4 linked regions of the Drosophila melanogaster genome follow. The protein of the gene in region 2 interacts with the protein of the main gene of each other region in a pairwise test. Each region holds a gene or a part of one and is shown on either strand. Other genes may lie near its edges.

Region 1 (4,990 bases), on a different chromosome or scaffold from region 2:
ACAAAACTCGGGGAGGTACGAGCTCATTGCAAGAGATGAATTATTTTCAAGTCCAGACATAAATATCTATTCTGATTCATTCTCGCATATATCTTATTGAGTCATTTTCCCACTTCATCAGCCTCCAATTTTCCCTGGGGCTTTTCCGCCAATCGAACGAGCGCAACAGGTGCAACCGATGGACGACCAATGTGCGCACCTTGCTCGCTTCTCATTAAACACCCACGCCACCTCACACAGATACTCAACACACGCGCACGCGAGTGAACGGCAACTAATTAACATACAAAATGAATGCGAGGCAACAAAAAAAAAGCGGCCTCTCCGGCGGCTATCTCTCTCTCCCTCTCTCTCGCTTGCACCGCCGGCGCTCTCTTTCCCGCTCATGGCAGTACGTTTCAAGTGAGAAAATTATGAAGCTCCACCTATTTTACACTTACACACACGTAGCGACCGCGTTTGTGAGTGTATGGGTGTGTGAGGGAGAAGGGGGAACACATGTTAACCGCATTAAAAATTAATGTACAAATTGTTTATTATGTTGTCGAGTCCGCCTTTTGTTTTTGCTTTTTATCAAAGAGAGCATGTTTCGCTTTTTTTTTCGATAACACAATTTCTGTTACCATAAATATCTTTTTATCCATTTATACTTTTAGTTTTCAAATCTATATGTTTCTTTGAGCAGCAAAATATAAAGTACAAAAAAAGCAACATCCCAAGGGGCCGCCAAAACTTGTTGATGGAGCCAAAGAATCAAGCCACTCGCATTCTGCTCTCTTCGTTAGAATTCTTCGGTTGTCCGGGATCTCTTGGATCTCTGTTCTTCTGTCATTTTGTAGACGTGTCCATTGATGGACATTCTCAAGAACTCGCCCATCAGCAAACGATGTCATTAATGTGTGGCAATCGCGGAACGATTTCGGTATTTCTTACTCGGAAATCGCAGCAGAGGAAATTTTGCAATCGCAAGTGCAAATGATTTTGTCCGTTAACGCAGCGATGTGGCCAGGAAAGGGTTAAGGGATTCCCTGGAAAAAAGAAATCCCCTTTATCTCGCACCGCCAAATTTACCCGAAAGAAAAACGATCGAAAGCTTTCTTGAGTGGGGAATTAATCATAGCGATATGCATACATATGTGTGTAATTCCCACACGGGGAATATTTTGTCATAAACTTGATTTACCGGAAAGACTTAAAAAATTATAATACAAGTATATAATTAAACTATCTTATTGCTGTTCAATTCTGGGAATTTCAGATAATTCCTATTTATTGTTGAGTATTAAACTGTTTATTAAAAATATTTCCTAATTATAACAATTAAATATGTAAATCACTTAAGCTCTACACTTTAATATTGATACCCAGCAGCACAGAGTATTAATAAAATAACACCGAAATAAATTTGACGGTTGGCGGAAAAGTTAATGGAAAGACTCATAAGTCGCTTTATCAATAAAAACGAAATTTTGTGCAAATGTTAATATAGTCAAATCCCGCATAACGGCCATATGTTTACGAGCAGCACGATGAACAAAAGAGGCCACCCTTACGTAGTGCTTACGTCACGGGATAACCGAGAGGAGCGGCACTAACAGCGCTTAACATTTACGATATGCGATAACAGAGAGCTGTTATGTTAAGAATGAAGCGCTCTCGCTTCTCTGGCACCACCACCAACACACCACCCATCAGAGCATTAGAGCACCAACCACACTACCCCCGCCCGAATCACCTCGTACATCGGAACGGTGAACCGTTACACCGTTATATTATGCTGGTGGTGGCACGGAGCACACACACAAACAGCGCCGCCCTCTCTCACTCGCTCTCCGTGGAAACGTAGAACCCCGCCGTATCGCCCTCGCCCGAAACTCACAGTTCGCATCCGACGGATTCGGTAGAGGACGTCGGTCTCTGTTTCGTTCTCGGATTTGGCTTGATGCTTCGAAACTTAGAACTCTGAATTCAGTTGCATCGTAGACGTCGCGACGGCAGCACACGCGTCGCTCACCCACAGAGAAAACTCTGAGCAGCACACAGTAGAATCACGCAGATATAGAACGCAGATCAGTGAAATCGCCCACAAAATAAAAACAAACGCGACACTCGCAGCGGCGCATCGCGAAGAAAAATCCCAGTGTTTCCCATGTTCGAAAGATAAAAAACCCAAGGCCCTTGCCCAAATGGCCGCCACAACACGTGTGTGCTCTATAAGAAAGAAATAACGCCGAGCCCAGAAGAACCCACTAGCCAACTAGCCAACTAGCCAAACAAACTATCCGCATCAAAGTAGAGCAAGTGTTGCAACAAGCATTCCAAATGTTGTCCTGTCTGGCGCCGTCGTCTTCACGTTTCGGCCAAGAGGATACCATCATTCAGCAGAGCATGCCCTCCACCTCCCCCTTCGCCATGCAGTGTAAGTGATCAGAACGCGGATCTGGAGCACAGATCTCGGGTGATTCATCCGCAAACCGCCTCCATTATCACCAATCAGCCGTGCCATAGAACTTTGTGTTCAAGTGATTCGCGCGCCAAGACTCGGTAGCTTCGATTTGAAGATCCCCACATGCAAGCTTAGCAGTTTCCCAGAAACCATCCGCCATCTTGGGTATATGTGTGGTCTCCACCTTCAGGGGATCATAAGAATGAGTAGCTATAGAAAAACAAACTCATAAACGGCGAGTAAGGATCGAGGCAGGTCTCGAATTACCATTACCTACTCCTACGCAGAGAACGGGCTCCGGTTCTCAAAAAGGAGAGAGCGAGCCCGAAACCGAAAAAGTTTGCCCGATCAGCACACTGAGAGAAAACTGGGTCACTTTGTGCAACTTCTATACGCTTTGAGAACTTAAAGAACTTATTGTTGTTCAACTATAATCATTCGCTGGTTTTCAGCTACGAAAGTCCTTTTCCATGAGCTAAAACTACAATATAGTTAAAATTAGTACGGTTTAACATGGCAGATCATTCGATTTCTTATATCTATTGGTCATATCACGCTCTTCACACATGAAAGTCGGCCAGTCGATCTTGAATAATGGCATTATTCCCTGCATTGCATAGCATAGCCACCTCTCTGTTCCTCCCAGTGGCCGACCAATTGCAGCCACATCTCAATTTGATTTGTTGGCACCGCCGAAACAGCACCGCCGCCTTGCCAGTAATCTCCACCCACCGAGAACCAGGTAGAGCTACCCCTGACCAGGAAAACCGCATGCGCAGGCTGAAACAGCAGACGACAGGTAGCTAACTTGGCCAACACCATTACCGCGATGCCGCACCTCCATTTAAGAACCTGTTTTATGGCCATATTGCTGGTCGCTTGCCACTCTGTTTATCGAGTGTAAACAAAGCATAAAACTGTCAGTGGGCAGAGCTCATCGGTTGAAATGGAAGGTGTGAGAAAGAGCCGAAATTAATTGAAAACGCTTAGTTGGGGAGCATTGGGGATGGCGCAATGCTGGGGAAACGCCCACGATTCGTTCGGTGCTCCACTCCTCCGACTCTGACAATTGATAAGCCAGCTAAAGAGACGGATTAATTGCACATGTTCGGTGGAAACGGTTGAAACGGTGGCAACACCGCTGCCATAAATTATAATTTATGGCTATTTAAGCAGCTCCGTTCTCTGTGGGCGGAACTAAAAGCCCTCGAACACGATAGTTTGGCTAATCGATCAGAGATGGCTGCGCACAGGTTGGCCCACATATCTTCGATCCATATACTTTCCGCTTGTTTTCCGTCTCTTCCCTGGGCAAACCGAGCTGCTTGATGGCGCTGGGCAGCTGCGACTGCGATGGATATTAATCGCCGGCTACATACGAAATGCTGTTCGCTGGGCTTTTGGAAAAGCCGGGGGAAAACGCCAGCCAGCCAGCCAGCTAGTCAGCCAGCCAGCTAGTCAAGTTGTACTAATTTTCCGGCTGCTCGGCGTGTGTTGTGTCGCATTTCGAAACGGCTCCAAAATGCCGTAAATCAAAGATTTCGCCCTGGCGAAAACCTGTCGCCTGTTATCACCTTCGACTACGCCCCTTAGCTAAATATACTCTAAATATACTCTATGTATAAATCAGCGCCAATTTCCATTCCCATTTTCGCCCATCGAAGCCCTGAGCAGAAATTAAACATTTATCTGACATTTGCATCTTCGATTGGGAATACCTACCTAGTGTGTGTGTTCCACCAGCAACAAGATTGCCTCCTGTCTAATTAATCATTTTGGCTGCTGTCAGTGGATGTCAGTTTTATATGCTGGTGCTGTCGGTGCTGCCATTTATAACTCCTGGCCGGCTCATCCTGCATCTTTCACCGGGCACAGGACTCTGCCCCGTCAGCTGGTAATCGAAATTAAACAAACTTGGCCCCACAAACTATCTGGCAACTGGCATGCAAAGATGATTAATTTTGCCGATGCCTATCTCAAGTGGAGTTGGAGACTTCGGCCCGACTTTGCCCAAAATAAACAGACTGTGTCTTTAAATTGCAATTGAGCCAGGCTACAGAGCAAAAAAAAAAAAGGAAGCTCCCCATTTGCAACCAGCACAAAAGGACAATAAATCAATGAGGGGAAAGTCCTCTTTGATATCCTGCTGCAGATTCCCTTTATTCCGTGTTCAACCTGCCGCAGCTTTGGGCAAATTATTTGCCACATTTTACTTTTATTTCGCATTTTGGCCAAAAAGTAAATTGTTTGCCAATATTTTTTGCTGCTCGCTTTTTGCCGCCGTCGTGCACACAATTGAAACAAAGATAACTTTGAAACAGTTGTAAAGTGAAAATTGCACGGAATGCAGCCCGCCTCCTTGCGAATATATTTTTTCTTATTTATTTAATGCCCGCCGCTCTCCACGAGACAACAATTGCTACCCGTGCTATCCCCCGAAAAAAAAGTGCCAAAAAATCGGCGCAAACAAAAGGGTGCCCCCTGCCACCCAACCCTTGCAACACCCCCTTAAAAAAGGTGTTGCCAAAGGGCAGGCAAAATTGC
Region 2 (4,308 bases):
CCGTACAAGGCCGTCTCCTCGTCCGCACAGTAATAGTAGCCGTAGCAGGACTTGGGGTCGGCCACGAATTGCTTGGCCCGATCCGCGCAGGATATCGAGCAGCTGGACGTGGAAGTGGACAGTGACTTAACGCATTTGCCCGTGTCCTTGTCGAAAAACGGAGTAGATCCCGTGCATGTACTGTAGTAGCTGACGGAATCGATGCACGTGATCGATTGACTGCAGGATTCGGGATCTCGGATCACCGTATTATTGGAGAACAAGCGGCAGATGTCCTCATTCCGGCCATTAACCACATCTAGGCCTTGAAGCAGTAGCACCAGTGCCACGCCCAGTATGGCACCAAATTCTGCAATTTGAAAAAACAATAAAGTTAGATTTACACCACTGGCAGTTTGCAATCCACTCACTTTCCATTACAGCTCAACTTTGGACAAAGCATAAACTCGTACTGAATCTGAACGTCGACCTGCGATTACTTATAAATATCAGAGGATAAGCAGCAATCACTATTTGCTGGCAAGATAAGCGGATTGGTTTTTGAGGGGTATTCAACTGGGTAAGATGGGTTAAATAAAGATGAATAGAAGTCATTTGTTAAAAGCTCGAAGATTACAATCAAATGTATTGATTTTGCTTAGGGATTTGCTATATAATATTTTTGAAAAGGTAAATGATAGAGCACAAAAAATGGGAATGTTTGATAAAATTGTATTTATAAATTTAATGTTTTTAAGGAGCATTCATAAAATTTTACTTCAGAAAAAATTAATTATATTTTTCGTTGCTAAAGTACTGGGTGATTTCTAGTCGTAGTGAATGGTGATTTTATAAACAAGTTGGAGATTGCCAATTGGCTACCGGTAAATTAAATAGGAAGTAGATAAGTTATCATTTCGGCCAAAAAATAGTAATAAAATGAAGAGCAAGATCAGCTGGTTTAATTCATAAGGCTTAGTGGGTTAATAGAGAGCTTCCCTTCTTTATTATAAAAAAAAAAACATTTTTAGTACTCTACCAATTAAATATAAAAAGTAAATAAGCACGTAGCTTGAACTATTTTTTAAGAATTTAAATTACTTCGAAAATGCCTTGTGATTTGGAAAAAGTATCGAGTAAAGTGTTTAAATGTCATTGCATACTTATGGGCGAATTTCTAAACGGACAAAACTCGCTTTTAGGCGAAACAATAAAATAAGGCGGATAGATTTAAAATAGTTTAACGGAAAATAAAACTGACTAAAAAAATGGGGTTTTTGTTATTAAACATTAACATCAATTATTTTTATAGATTATATAGATAGATAATAAAATTTCAAAATACTTGCATATAATTGTACTATTTAATTATGCATACAAATAAATAAATATATATAACTCATAATTTCATAATTTCATAGTGCGATTTATTTATTTTGTATTTCAGTTCAAACGGTTCTTTTGGACAAGTTATTAATATAAACATTTGTAGTTCGGTAATTTTTCCCCAGAACCTGATAACCTTCAGAGGAAAGTCTAGTCAAGTCAAGTCAAGAGTCGCAGTGCGATTCAAATTGAGATATCTAACTAATGTCGTGTTGCTGAAATGAGTGCCGAGATACCAGGGAAACACCACTGAGTGATCAATAAGAGCCGTGACACTTTCCCGCCTCCTCGAGCTTCTTCGAAATTAAAAAACAATTATAGACAAAGAGGGTTCGCAATCAGCAGCTGATAATCCAAATTCCGGCGCGGCTGTCAACGTATAAAAATATATATAAACTATATATACATACTAAACTAAGTATGTATGGTGTCCGCTGGCCAAGAATCGATTTGAGCTTATAAGCCAGTCCATTTTGGCCGGGTCCGCTAGTTTCACTTTCGTCGTCCAACGCCTTCGAACCGCCTTCAAGCTAACCCAACAACTTCGGAGGGATGCAAGGTGCGTGGTTTACCCCAGACCTTAGAATCTTATCTAGCATTAATTTCGATACTAACGCCCTACTGGCGGCTGGCTTATCTGGCTGACAATTTTTTAATTACCCACCCAGTTCGCGCCGCGAATTGTCAACTATAAAAACGCAAAGGCTGCAATTGATTGAGTTAGTAACGAAATCGGAACGTTCGCTTCGGTCGTCTGTCTATCAAGTGAATTTGTCCCCGAAAAATATTAGCATTCCAAGATGGGAGGTACGTTGGCTCGAAGAACGGATACAGTTATCTCAGGTGCACAGTATTCAAGACGTCTTGCTTCGACTAAATTTTGAAAAGTGGTTTCAAACATGGTTTTAAGGCCCTGAAATTCTCCTGCAAAGGAGATGACTTTCAAAAATGGCTAAAATGACTTTCAAATTTCGATTTGTTACTCAAATTGAGTTTTTCTTTCGTCCTTAATTGATTTTTTATCCAAAAAAAGGGCTGCCGTGTTGGCTACAACAAAGGCTTAACCAATTTTAGAGACGCTAACACGAATTTTGGATTGAAAGCTATCAATTTTGTCGTTTCTAGCATAATTTCTTTGCATTATTAAGTACAAACAAAATAGAAAACTATTCGACGATTACACATGTCTATATTTTATTTAATAATTCATAGTTCGTATCCCCCTGTATCCCCCATTTAGCAATCAATATGAGGATCTGTGTCGTGGCCGCATGTCTCCTAATGGCATCGCAGGCCACCGGCTACACGATGGATGATCTGTGCCAACAGTGGTCGGGCTATGGATACATCGGCAATCCGAGCAACTGCCATGCCTGGGGATACTGCAAGAACCAGGAGGTTGTGGCCTGGGGCACCTGTCCCAACGGCTTGGTGTTCAACGCGCAGGCCGGCAGCTGTGATTACGCTAATACCACGGTGTGCTCCACCAGTGCCGTTGAGACATGCTCCAACGTCAAATCTCCCATGTATGTGGCCAATCCGTTGAACTGCACCGAATACGCCTACTGCGATGGCACAGGCCAAATCTCCTATGGCGATTGCGGCACCGGCGGCGTCTATTCGGCATCCTCCACAAAATGTATATGGGGACCCGCCTGCCCGCAGGACACCATCTGTCGGTTCATGTTGTCCAACATCTTTGTAGGCGATCCGAACCAGTGCGGCAACTACATCAACTGCGTCAACGGCTATGGCACTTCCGAAAAATGTTCCAGCACCGCCAATCCCTACTATAATAAAGCCACTGGCAACTGCCAGTCGACGAATCCGTGCACCGGCGAAGATTCAAACAGTGGAAACTCTGACCAGTTCACTGTTGGGCAAACAAATGCAACTGCTTGTGACGAAGAAGCTTTTAAAGCAGCAGATCCACTTACTGTAAATGGGGAATCTGTTGACTATAGGTACGTTTCTGATGGTGTCACCTGCTATGGGTACTACTACTGTGCAGCAGTAAACGCCACTGGCTATTGGAACCAATGTCCCACCGGTACCCAATTCAATGCTGGCAAGTGCGTTTCGCCAGCCTCCTTTGTCTGTACCCATAACCGATGTGGGAACGTTAACAATCCATTCATGGCAGATGAGGGTTGCAAGAACTACACAATCTGCTCCAGCGGAATAACCGGATCATGTCCCACCAATGCGCCGTACTACGACGAGGTGAACAATATCTGCACCACCAAAATTCCCGATTACGCCATTTGTAATTCGACGGCTAGTACATGAGCATCTCCTCCAGCCACGTCTGTTTGCCGAGATACCTTTTATGAAATATATAAATAAATACCAATGCTGAAGGCATTCAAAAGAAACTAATAAAAATGTTGACTTCGACCAAGCGAAATTTGTTTTAAATGTTGTTGTTTTTGAAATTGTTGATTAGTTGTTCGCCTTTTTGGTAGCAAATCTTTCAAAAAGAGGCTCACAGAAAATGTGCCTCAAAATATAAATATAATTTCTGCGGGATGGGTATTTGTAAATGTTATCTGCCAAGCTAAGTTAATTAAATAATTAATTAAAAAAATTCAATGGCCTCCATCTATTGTATTAGAAGAAGGTGGAACAGTAAAACCCCATTGCTTGGGAAATTTCTGGAGAAGTTACTTGATTGACGTCAGCATTGAGATATTGTTTTGAATTCAGTACTTCAAAGCCTAGTATTGTAGTAGGCTGCTCCTTCTACCCTCTTCCTTTACTCTTAGTCATACATACCTAATTATACATAGCCAATCTAGTCATAAGCTTATACACTCATACACCCATCCTTAACATACAAATATTATCGAGAAACTTATCGACTAATCGACTCGCCACTCTGCAGAGAGCGCGGCAGTCAGTCGCTGTTGAACCAAGCTAAAGGACAGATCAAAAATAAAAGAG
Region 3 (4,744 bases), on a different chromosome or scaffold from region 2:
CCCTCGCTCTCTTTCTCTCTCGCACGACCACGTTGCCTCTCTTTCTTTTATTTCCAAATGCCAGACTGCGTGGCCCGACGGATATGTACATACTTACATACATATATGTATATACATATATATGATCTGTGATTCCGTTTCGTTTCGATCCGCTCCGATTTCGCTGCGATGGCCGTGTGAGCGTTGGCATTTCAATTGTCTAATTGCCGCGTGGGTTTCTCCATAGGCAGAGCTCACTGTGTGGGGGCGTGAGAAAAGCCCCAAAAGACCCGTTTGCCTGCCACTGATCGTGGCTTTCCAATTGCTGGTGTCTTTATTTTCTTTAAATAGAAATCAATGCGTGTATATAGAATATAATCGATGCGTAACAAAATATATTTATATATTTTTTTGAGAATTAAATATCAACACGTTTTTTCTATCTGTGTATGGCCTTTTGTAGGAGATCCCTTTCGGGACCGAGTTAATTGTAAGTCCCTCAATTGCCTAGCAGTAATTTGCAAGTCCATTACAAGCTCTACTTTTCGACTGCTGCCGAAATCAAGCCGAATTATTTTGCCGAATTTCGGGACATTTCTCCGAGAACAATAACCCACATAGCACGACCCCAAAATCTCTTGAAATCCTGCAAAACTGCGCAGCAAGGACTCTCCCACTGGCACACACGCACACACTCATGCACACAGGACGTGGTGTAAATGCTAATTTACGCATTTCAATAGTACAAGTTTTTGGCGAAAATTTTAATTAGACTGCCTTTTTTTTGGGGAAGGGAAAGGCATTGTTAGGCGGCCGACAAGTGAGTAGTTTCTACCAGCTGGAAACCGAATGGTGGCTCGTTTTTTGGGCCATAAATTGGCGTCCTTCATTGAACGGAGAGCGGTTGGAGTTCCGAGTTCGAGTTCGGGTCTGCGAAATAGTTGTTTTCTTGCGCCTTTTTTTGCGCCACCCCAGCCCTGTTGACCATGCCCTCTCCCACTCTTGCGCTCTCTGGCTCTCTTTCACTCACACAAAATGGGCGCCGCACACTGTGGCAATCGGGCACCAATACAACGGCAAGCAGCGCACCAACACTAATGCGTTTCGGTCCGAACTGGAAGTTCGCGGGAAAACTGGAAGGTTACGCGTGTGCGAGAAGAGCACGGCTAGATGGTGCTTGGAAGGCGCTTGCTGCTCTCCTCACTCTAACGGCGAATGGATGTCGCACATGCGCCATGTTGCCGAGGGGAAGGCCCATATGCTGCTGACTCCCTCGCACTCGCTGAGCGGCGAAGAGTGCGGCTAGCGTGCGACAGAGACCGCCCCTGAATATTTACCGTTGCCGGGCAGCGCAGTCGACGCGAGCGTCGCTGTCGGCGCGCTGCTTTTGCCGCCGTTGCCGCCGTTACTGCTGTTGCTGCTGCTGTTGGTGTTGCTGCTGCTGCTGCAAATGTTGCTGCTGCGCTTGCCATGCGATTTGAGGTCCTCGGAAGAGCAAAGCTCCGCTGGCCGTTTACCGTTTGTTAGCTGAATGCCTCCTTGGCCAAATCCAAAGCGAAATGCAAAGCCAAGTCGAAAGCCAACCACCAGCAGCAACATAACGGCAGCAACAGCACGACAGCAACAGCAACAGCAAACAGAAACAGCAACTGCGACGACAAAACTCCTGGTGCACATTAACGCAGGCAACAGTTTAACGTGGAAATTATTGCGAATTTGTTGTGTGTTTTTCTGCGACGCGTGCCAGCGCAAAATCTCAAAACCTCCATTCGCAAATCCCATTTCGCGTAGTCTTTACAACATTGCAAAACTTGCCTTTGCTTTGTTTTTTTTTTTGTTTTCTGGGTTTCTCAATTGGGACTGCATGATGTTTTCAAGCGATTTGTTTTGACAACGGCAATATCTAGACGTAAATCGAAATATTAGCAATCGAAAATGCCGCAGCGTTCGCCATTTGCCATTCAGGAGCTGCTGGGCTTGGCGGTGGCGGCGGCCACAGAAGCGCCAACCGATCTGACGACAACTGCCGGTGCAACGGTGGCAAAAGAGCGCCAAACGCCAACGCCGCCAAAGACAACAAATGCCACAATGGCAACAGCAGCAACATCAGCAGCTACGGCAGCAACACCAACAAATGCGGCCGAAGGCAATTTAACGAGCGTTTCGGAGCCACAGCAGCAGCCGCAGCAGCAGCAACAAGAGCAGCAGCACCACCAGCCGCACCACCATCAGTACAGGGAGCACCACCAAATGACCATGGCGGCCGCCTCGCGAATGGCCTACTTCAATGCCCATGCGGCGGTGGCAGCGGCCTTTATGCCCCACCAACTGGCCGCGGCGGTGCACCATCATCATCAGCATCAGCACCAGCACCATCCACACCACCACCCGCACCACCCACACGGAGCCGTTGGCGGGCCACCGCCGCCGCCGCCGATGCAGCACCACCACCCCCACCATCCGCACCACCCGCTGCTGCACGCGCAGGGTAAGCCAATGTCCCCGCCAGCGAACCACTCAAATTGCAGTTAATTGCAGTTAGTAAAACACAGATATATATATTTTTTTCATTTATGCATATACTGAACATGGGAAAGTTGAAAAGTGCCGTAGCTAACTTACATATATTTCGCTATAGCGATTTTAAAAATCTTTTGTTCGATGTATTTACACTGACAATCAAAGCTTAAACGCAATTAGCAATCGCAACTGGTTTTGTCACCTGCCAGACACACCAACACAGGCGCACATATACACATGCTCAGATACATTTACAGATTCAGATTCAGATACAGATACATTCGATTCACACGCACACGCACACACAGTGGGGCGAATCGGTGTCTGGAGTGCCGCTTAGTTAGCATAAAAAAGGAATTAATCAGCGGTCCATCGTCCGCCAAATCAGCTTTGGCCCCACTGCAAACGACACAACGCCCGCATCCGCACCACCGCTCCACCGATCCGGCAATCCGGCAATCCGCCTCCGAAGCCACTCCAATCCAAAGCACCACCACTCAAGTTGAGCTGCTAATTGCACTGTGTGTGGATGTGTGTGTGTGAGTGTTTGTGTGTGTGTTGCACTCTGGTTTGAGCATAGCAAAAACTGGGCTTCACAATTGTTGCAATAGTTTGGGCACACTAACGACAATAGTTAGTTTTCATATTGTTTAAATAAAATTCTAGAATCAGTGGAAATCCGAATCAATTTATAATAAGCTTGGTATGCTTTTCGAGTAGGTTTTTGGTCGCTTTTGTGCCACTGTAGGTGCGCCTTTGTTTGGCGATCAGCACAGGCAATGAAACACGCACACTGCAAGAAAATCCCACACACTAACAGTGAACTCGAGTCGACCTGCTGTCTCTCTCGATTCAAAGCTCATTTGCAAGTGGCAATATCATACGAAGTTGGAGCGATGACAGTGAAGGCAGATAAACAGAAAGGCATGAAAAGCCGTGCAGGGATTGGATACACGGTAAAAAACTAGGAACTAGTTGCTGGCTGCCAGAAGTAAGCAGTTGATTAACAACATAAGCACTTCAAATTGTTATATTTCTCATTGGATTTGTGAACTATATCTGGAATGGCATTAATAACAAAATCCTGAAGCGTTTAGCCAAATTTCTTTCACTGTGAAAAGTGCGAGGCTCTGCAGATAATCTTGCAGATTCAAGTGGCAGCTGTTATTATTGTTATTATTATTTTAATTAGCGTTGAAATATCATCATCGTCATCACCGATTTCCATTGCTCTGCAACTGATTCACTGTGCCAATTTCACTGCGCACTCACTCAACTTATGTGGATATGTAGATACATATATGAGTAGATTGAATCTGATTTCTTGATTTCAAATCTGTTTACCCCTACACTTCCGGACCCTTTTTTTTGGGGTCTTATTATTATTATTTTTTTTTTTATTGATTTCGCATGTTGTGCGGCTTTCTTTTTGGCTCGATGTTTATGCGTTATTTTAATTACAATACTCCTATCCGTTTATCGCCCATTTCCACAGTTTCGTCGTAATTTGCGTTTAATAAATGTGGGAAAGAGCACTGCTCTTAGCTGCTAAATAGTTATGGGTAGTATGGGCTAGCAGACTGGGATTACAATTTAAACTATGACCAATTAGTTAAGGTTTTATAAATAGTGGTAATGTATGTAGTATGTAATAGTTGTGCTCATTAGTTTTGGTGCAATAAACAGGGCGAGTTGCTCTGCGATGATGAGAGAGAGTGGGTTGCCTCCGCTAAAAGCATATATTCTAGGGTATGTAATAGTCGTGCTCATAAATAGAGATAGAGAAAGTGGTCTGCCTGTGGTAAAAGCTTATAAATTAGGAAAGGCTTATATGTTTTAGGGTATGCAGTAGTCGTGCTTATTAGTTCACTCCCCATTTTCTTCTGTTCTGTTTAGCCGTGCTTTCTGCTTTTCATTCGCGTCATCCTATTTAATTTTGCATATTTTCAACTCGCTTCGTTGTCGTACGAATATTTCGGGTATCCGTTGTTGATTTTATACCCATTTGCGTGGCCAGCTCGTCAATTAAAAAATCGCATCAGGTTTGGTCGAATCGCGAGCGAATTTCTGGCCGGATTTCGGACGGATTTCCTGTCCAGAGCTGAGTACTTGGCGCCCTCCATTAAGTGCCTTTGATCTTTTACCAGAAGGGAAAACCCAAATCGGAAAATTGGTTGCCCAACGACAATAAGAAAAGCGCTTTTTCTTCGCACACCACACCGCCACACATTTAATTGACAATTTT
Region 4 (2,915 bases), 3.9 Mb from region 2:
GACCTCGAAGGGTCAGGGGGGTATCAGGGCTAAGGGGGTGCGAACTGCGTAAACAAAGCTCAAGGATTGCGTCCTGGAACGTGGCGAAGTGTCGATGAACCAAAGTGGGCGCACAAACAGGCCAGAGTTGGGCACACCCTTGGAGGGCACTCTGTCATATGGGAGCTGTCTAATGAAAATGGTGGCCTGATTTAACCTTAAACGAATTCATTCTTCTCATCATATAATAGTTTAAAGTGCTCTGGTGACCATTGCAAATGTTAAAAATTAAAGCTTGCAGCACTCGTTAATAATTCAAATGAAATCCCTTATCTTGAACTTATAATTCTATGTAATACCACAAACTAAAGCTATATATATATACTTCCCATCCAGGTATCTATTGCAATAAGACGGCGCTTCCCAAGAGCAACCTGCACTATCTGTTTCCTTTGAAGAAAAGTCCCGATGCCCACGGCAAGATTAAAATTAAACGGAAGGAATAAAACTCGATTCACTTCTCAGTCGGTCAGTGCGTGGGCCTGATGCATTGCGTTTTAATTTCTGTTTGCCTGCGAGCATGTATCTCCATCTCTGTTTGTATCTGTATCTTTCGCCGTGGCAGTGACGACGTCCGGTGGACACGTGCGGCAGCCTTGCGGAATCCCTTTGCCATCCTGGGACATCTTACTTCTTGAGGATGGTGGCCACAGGGGCGGCGGCATAAACGGCTGGCAGGGCGGCGCTGTGGGCCACACTGTGGGCACTGTAGCTACTGGCATAGGGGGCCACGTAGGGGGCGTAGGCAGGGGTGTAGGCGGCGGTGTAGGCGAGGGGTGCGGCAGCGGGCAGGGAGCTGTACGCCAGTGGAGTGGAGTAGGCCAGAGGGGCATTGTAGGCCAGCAGACCAGGATTGGCAGCAGCGGCGGCGAACAGGGCGCACAGGACAACGGCAAACTGCAGGATAAAATGCATACAAAAAGTACATTAAAATACACATTTACAAGAAGTTTTATAAATATAAAAAATTGTTTGAAAAATCTACACTGTTTGATAATAGTTTTATTTCGAACACACGCGTTTTTGTTTGTATTTAGGATTGTGAATTGTTGCATTTTTGAAACATTGTATCCTTAAAAAAATGTTGGAAACTTACGAATTTCATCATTTTAATTGATTTGGTTGTGTTAGCGTCGAAGTTAGACTTCTGATTGATGTCTTGTGCTGAGTTCGAAGTGGTTTATATAGGTAAATATACATAGCATCCTTGACAAAGCCCATTGAAAAAGCAAAAACCCAGCAAGTTTAAAGCATTTCCATCACGTACCAGGGCTAAAACAGGGCCAAACATTTGGTCTCTTTTTACTGGCACAATTATAATGTTGCAGATTTGTGTTTGTCGATATGCCTGCGAATAGTACGCATTCCTTGTGAATTTATTATTGAAAATGAATGTTTTTTCCCGCTCATCTTGAGCATTTCCGCAACTGGCGTCAGCAGCTGTCGTTTGCCGATTGAATTATCATAATTTAGCACTCAGTGCGTTTTGTGGGCTGTGAACGTGCGTGTCATTCCAACCGTCTTGGCCATCTCCGGAGTTCGGCTCACTCTGTACGTTTCAATTGTCAGCCACTCGAACACGCCACTTTGCATTCTAATCAGAGATGCAAGTAAAAATAGAAGCGGTTTATCCAGTTTCGAAGGACGTCATCGAGTTGAGCCCTTGGCTTAAGGTTGAGGACACCAGAAACAGGGAATCGAAAGCTTTGCATAAATGGAATCGCGAGTTCAATAAACCGGAGGTCTCGTTGACCCTATTAATCCAATGCAAACATGGACATTCCACCACGAAGAACACAACCTCCTTTACACTTCCTTTTTTTTTAACAAATAATAGGTTTTAAGTCCAAAAAATAATTTCCAATGTATCAAAGCAATTTATTGATACAAAGCTTAAAAAAGTCATTGATTCCTTCCAGCCCACCAAAATTAAAAAATGTAGGGGCTAGCAATTTATGAAACTAGTGTGAGAAATATTTACTGAAAATATGATATCACCTACTTTATAAATAATATTTCCATTGGATTTTAATGTATACCAAATTTAGTACTTAGTACCCATTGCAAAAGAGTACTGCCTAAAAGTATGTGATTATACATACTCCCTTCACATTAGAGATGAATAAGTGATGCAATAAATTATGAACAAGTGGTATACGTTTTACGCAAAATGCAGTATTTATTTCAACAAAAATATTCCCTTTCTTGAAGTGGTATGTCCTGTTCCCATGACTTAACTTTCAGCAGTCGGCAGAGGTGGGGAAATGTAGAGTCTGTCGAACTAACACCAGGGATGTAAGAAGATTGGATGTTGCAGGTGGTTAGCAGGAAGGTGTGTATCCTTGTTGCAATAGATGTGTATATGTTTATATTCAGGTCCAGTTCAGCAGTCAGGTTAAGATCACGATCCATTCATCCAGTCTTAACGGTAGTAGGCGGCATAGGGGTAGGCGGAGTAGGCGGACGCATAGGGGTACGTGTAGGCGGAGTAGGCGGCGGCCACTGGAGCGGTGTATGCCGCGGTGTAGGCAGCCGAGTAAGGAGCAGCTGCCACATAGGGAGCGGAGTAGGCGCTGTAGGCCAGAGGAGAAGCGAGCACCGCCGGCTTGGCAGAGACGCAGGCCACGATGGCGAACAGGCACAGAGCGAACTGAAAGGATAGGAAAAGTGCTTATGAGTAATCCGTTGTTTGGTGGCAAGTCCAGCTATCCTGCGATCCTTACGTATTTGAACATGTTGGCTGTTTGGGTTGGTTGTGAACTGTTGGTTCTCAAGTACTAGACTGATATCTCCTAGTGCCCGAGTACTCGGGTATATATAGCAGAATCGGTCGAGAAAATTCCATTCCAATTCCCCACATTGAAGCGAAGGTGATG

The links.
Region 1: the proteins of CG6933 (region 2) and zfh1 interact in a two-hybrid assay, tested with the Drosophila melanogaster proteins (one large-scale study listed by BioGRID).
Region 3: the proteins of CG6933 (region 2) and Vsx2 interact in a two-hybrid assay, tested with the Drosophila melanogaster proteins (one large-scale study listed by BioGRID).
Region 4: the proteins of CG6933 (region 2) and CG13066 interact in a two-hybrid assay, tested with the Drosophila melanogaster proteins (one large-scale study listed by BioGRID).

The regions. Positions count from the first base shown.
Region 1 is NT_033777.3:30,763,962-30,768,951, forward strand, and holds the start of zfh1 (Zn finger homeodomain 1), read left to right. Parts: upstream 1-1,964; 5' UTR 1,965-2,322; coding exon 2,323-2,419; intron 2,420-4,990. UniProt on the Drosophila melanogaster protein: Involved in the development of the embryonic central nervous system, embryonic mesoderm and adult musculature.
Region 2 is NT_037436.4:20,217,961-20,222,268, reverse strand, and holds CG6933 (uncharacterized protein), read left to right. Parts: upstream 1-1,848; 5' UTR 1,849-1,917; coding exon of another isoform or gene 1,918-1,924; intron 1,925-2,033; 5' UTR 2,034-2,165; coding exon 2,166-2,208; intron 2,209-2,605; coding exon 2,606-3,654; 3' UTR 3,655-3,767; downstream 3,768-4,308. Other genes in the region: CG17145 (uncharacterized protein), read right to left, coding at 1-349, 411-417.
Region 3 is NC_004354.4:5,557,133-5,561,876, reverse strand, and holds the start of Vsx2 (visual system homeobox 2), read left to right. Parts: upstream 1-1,693; 5' UTR 1,694-1,914; coding exon 1,915-2,467; intron 2,468-4,744.
Region 4 is NT_037436.4:16,271,199-16,274,113, reverse strand, and holds CG13066 (uncharacterized protein), read right to left. Parts: upstream 1,206-2,915; 5' UTR 1,148-1,205; coding exon 1,136-1,147; intron 937-1,135; coding exon 667-936; 3' UTR 506-666; downstream 1-505. Other genes in the region: CG13067 (uncharacterized protein), read right to left, coding at 2,462-2,689, 2,763-2,774.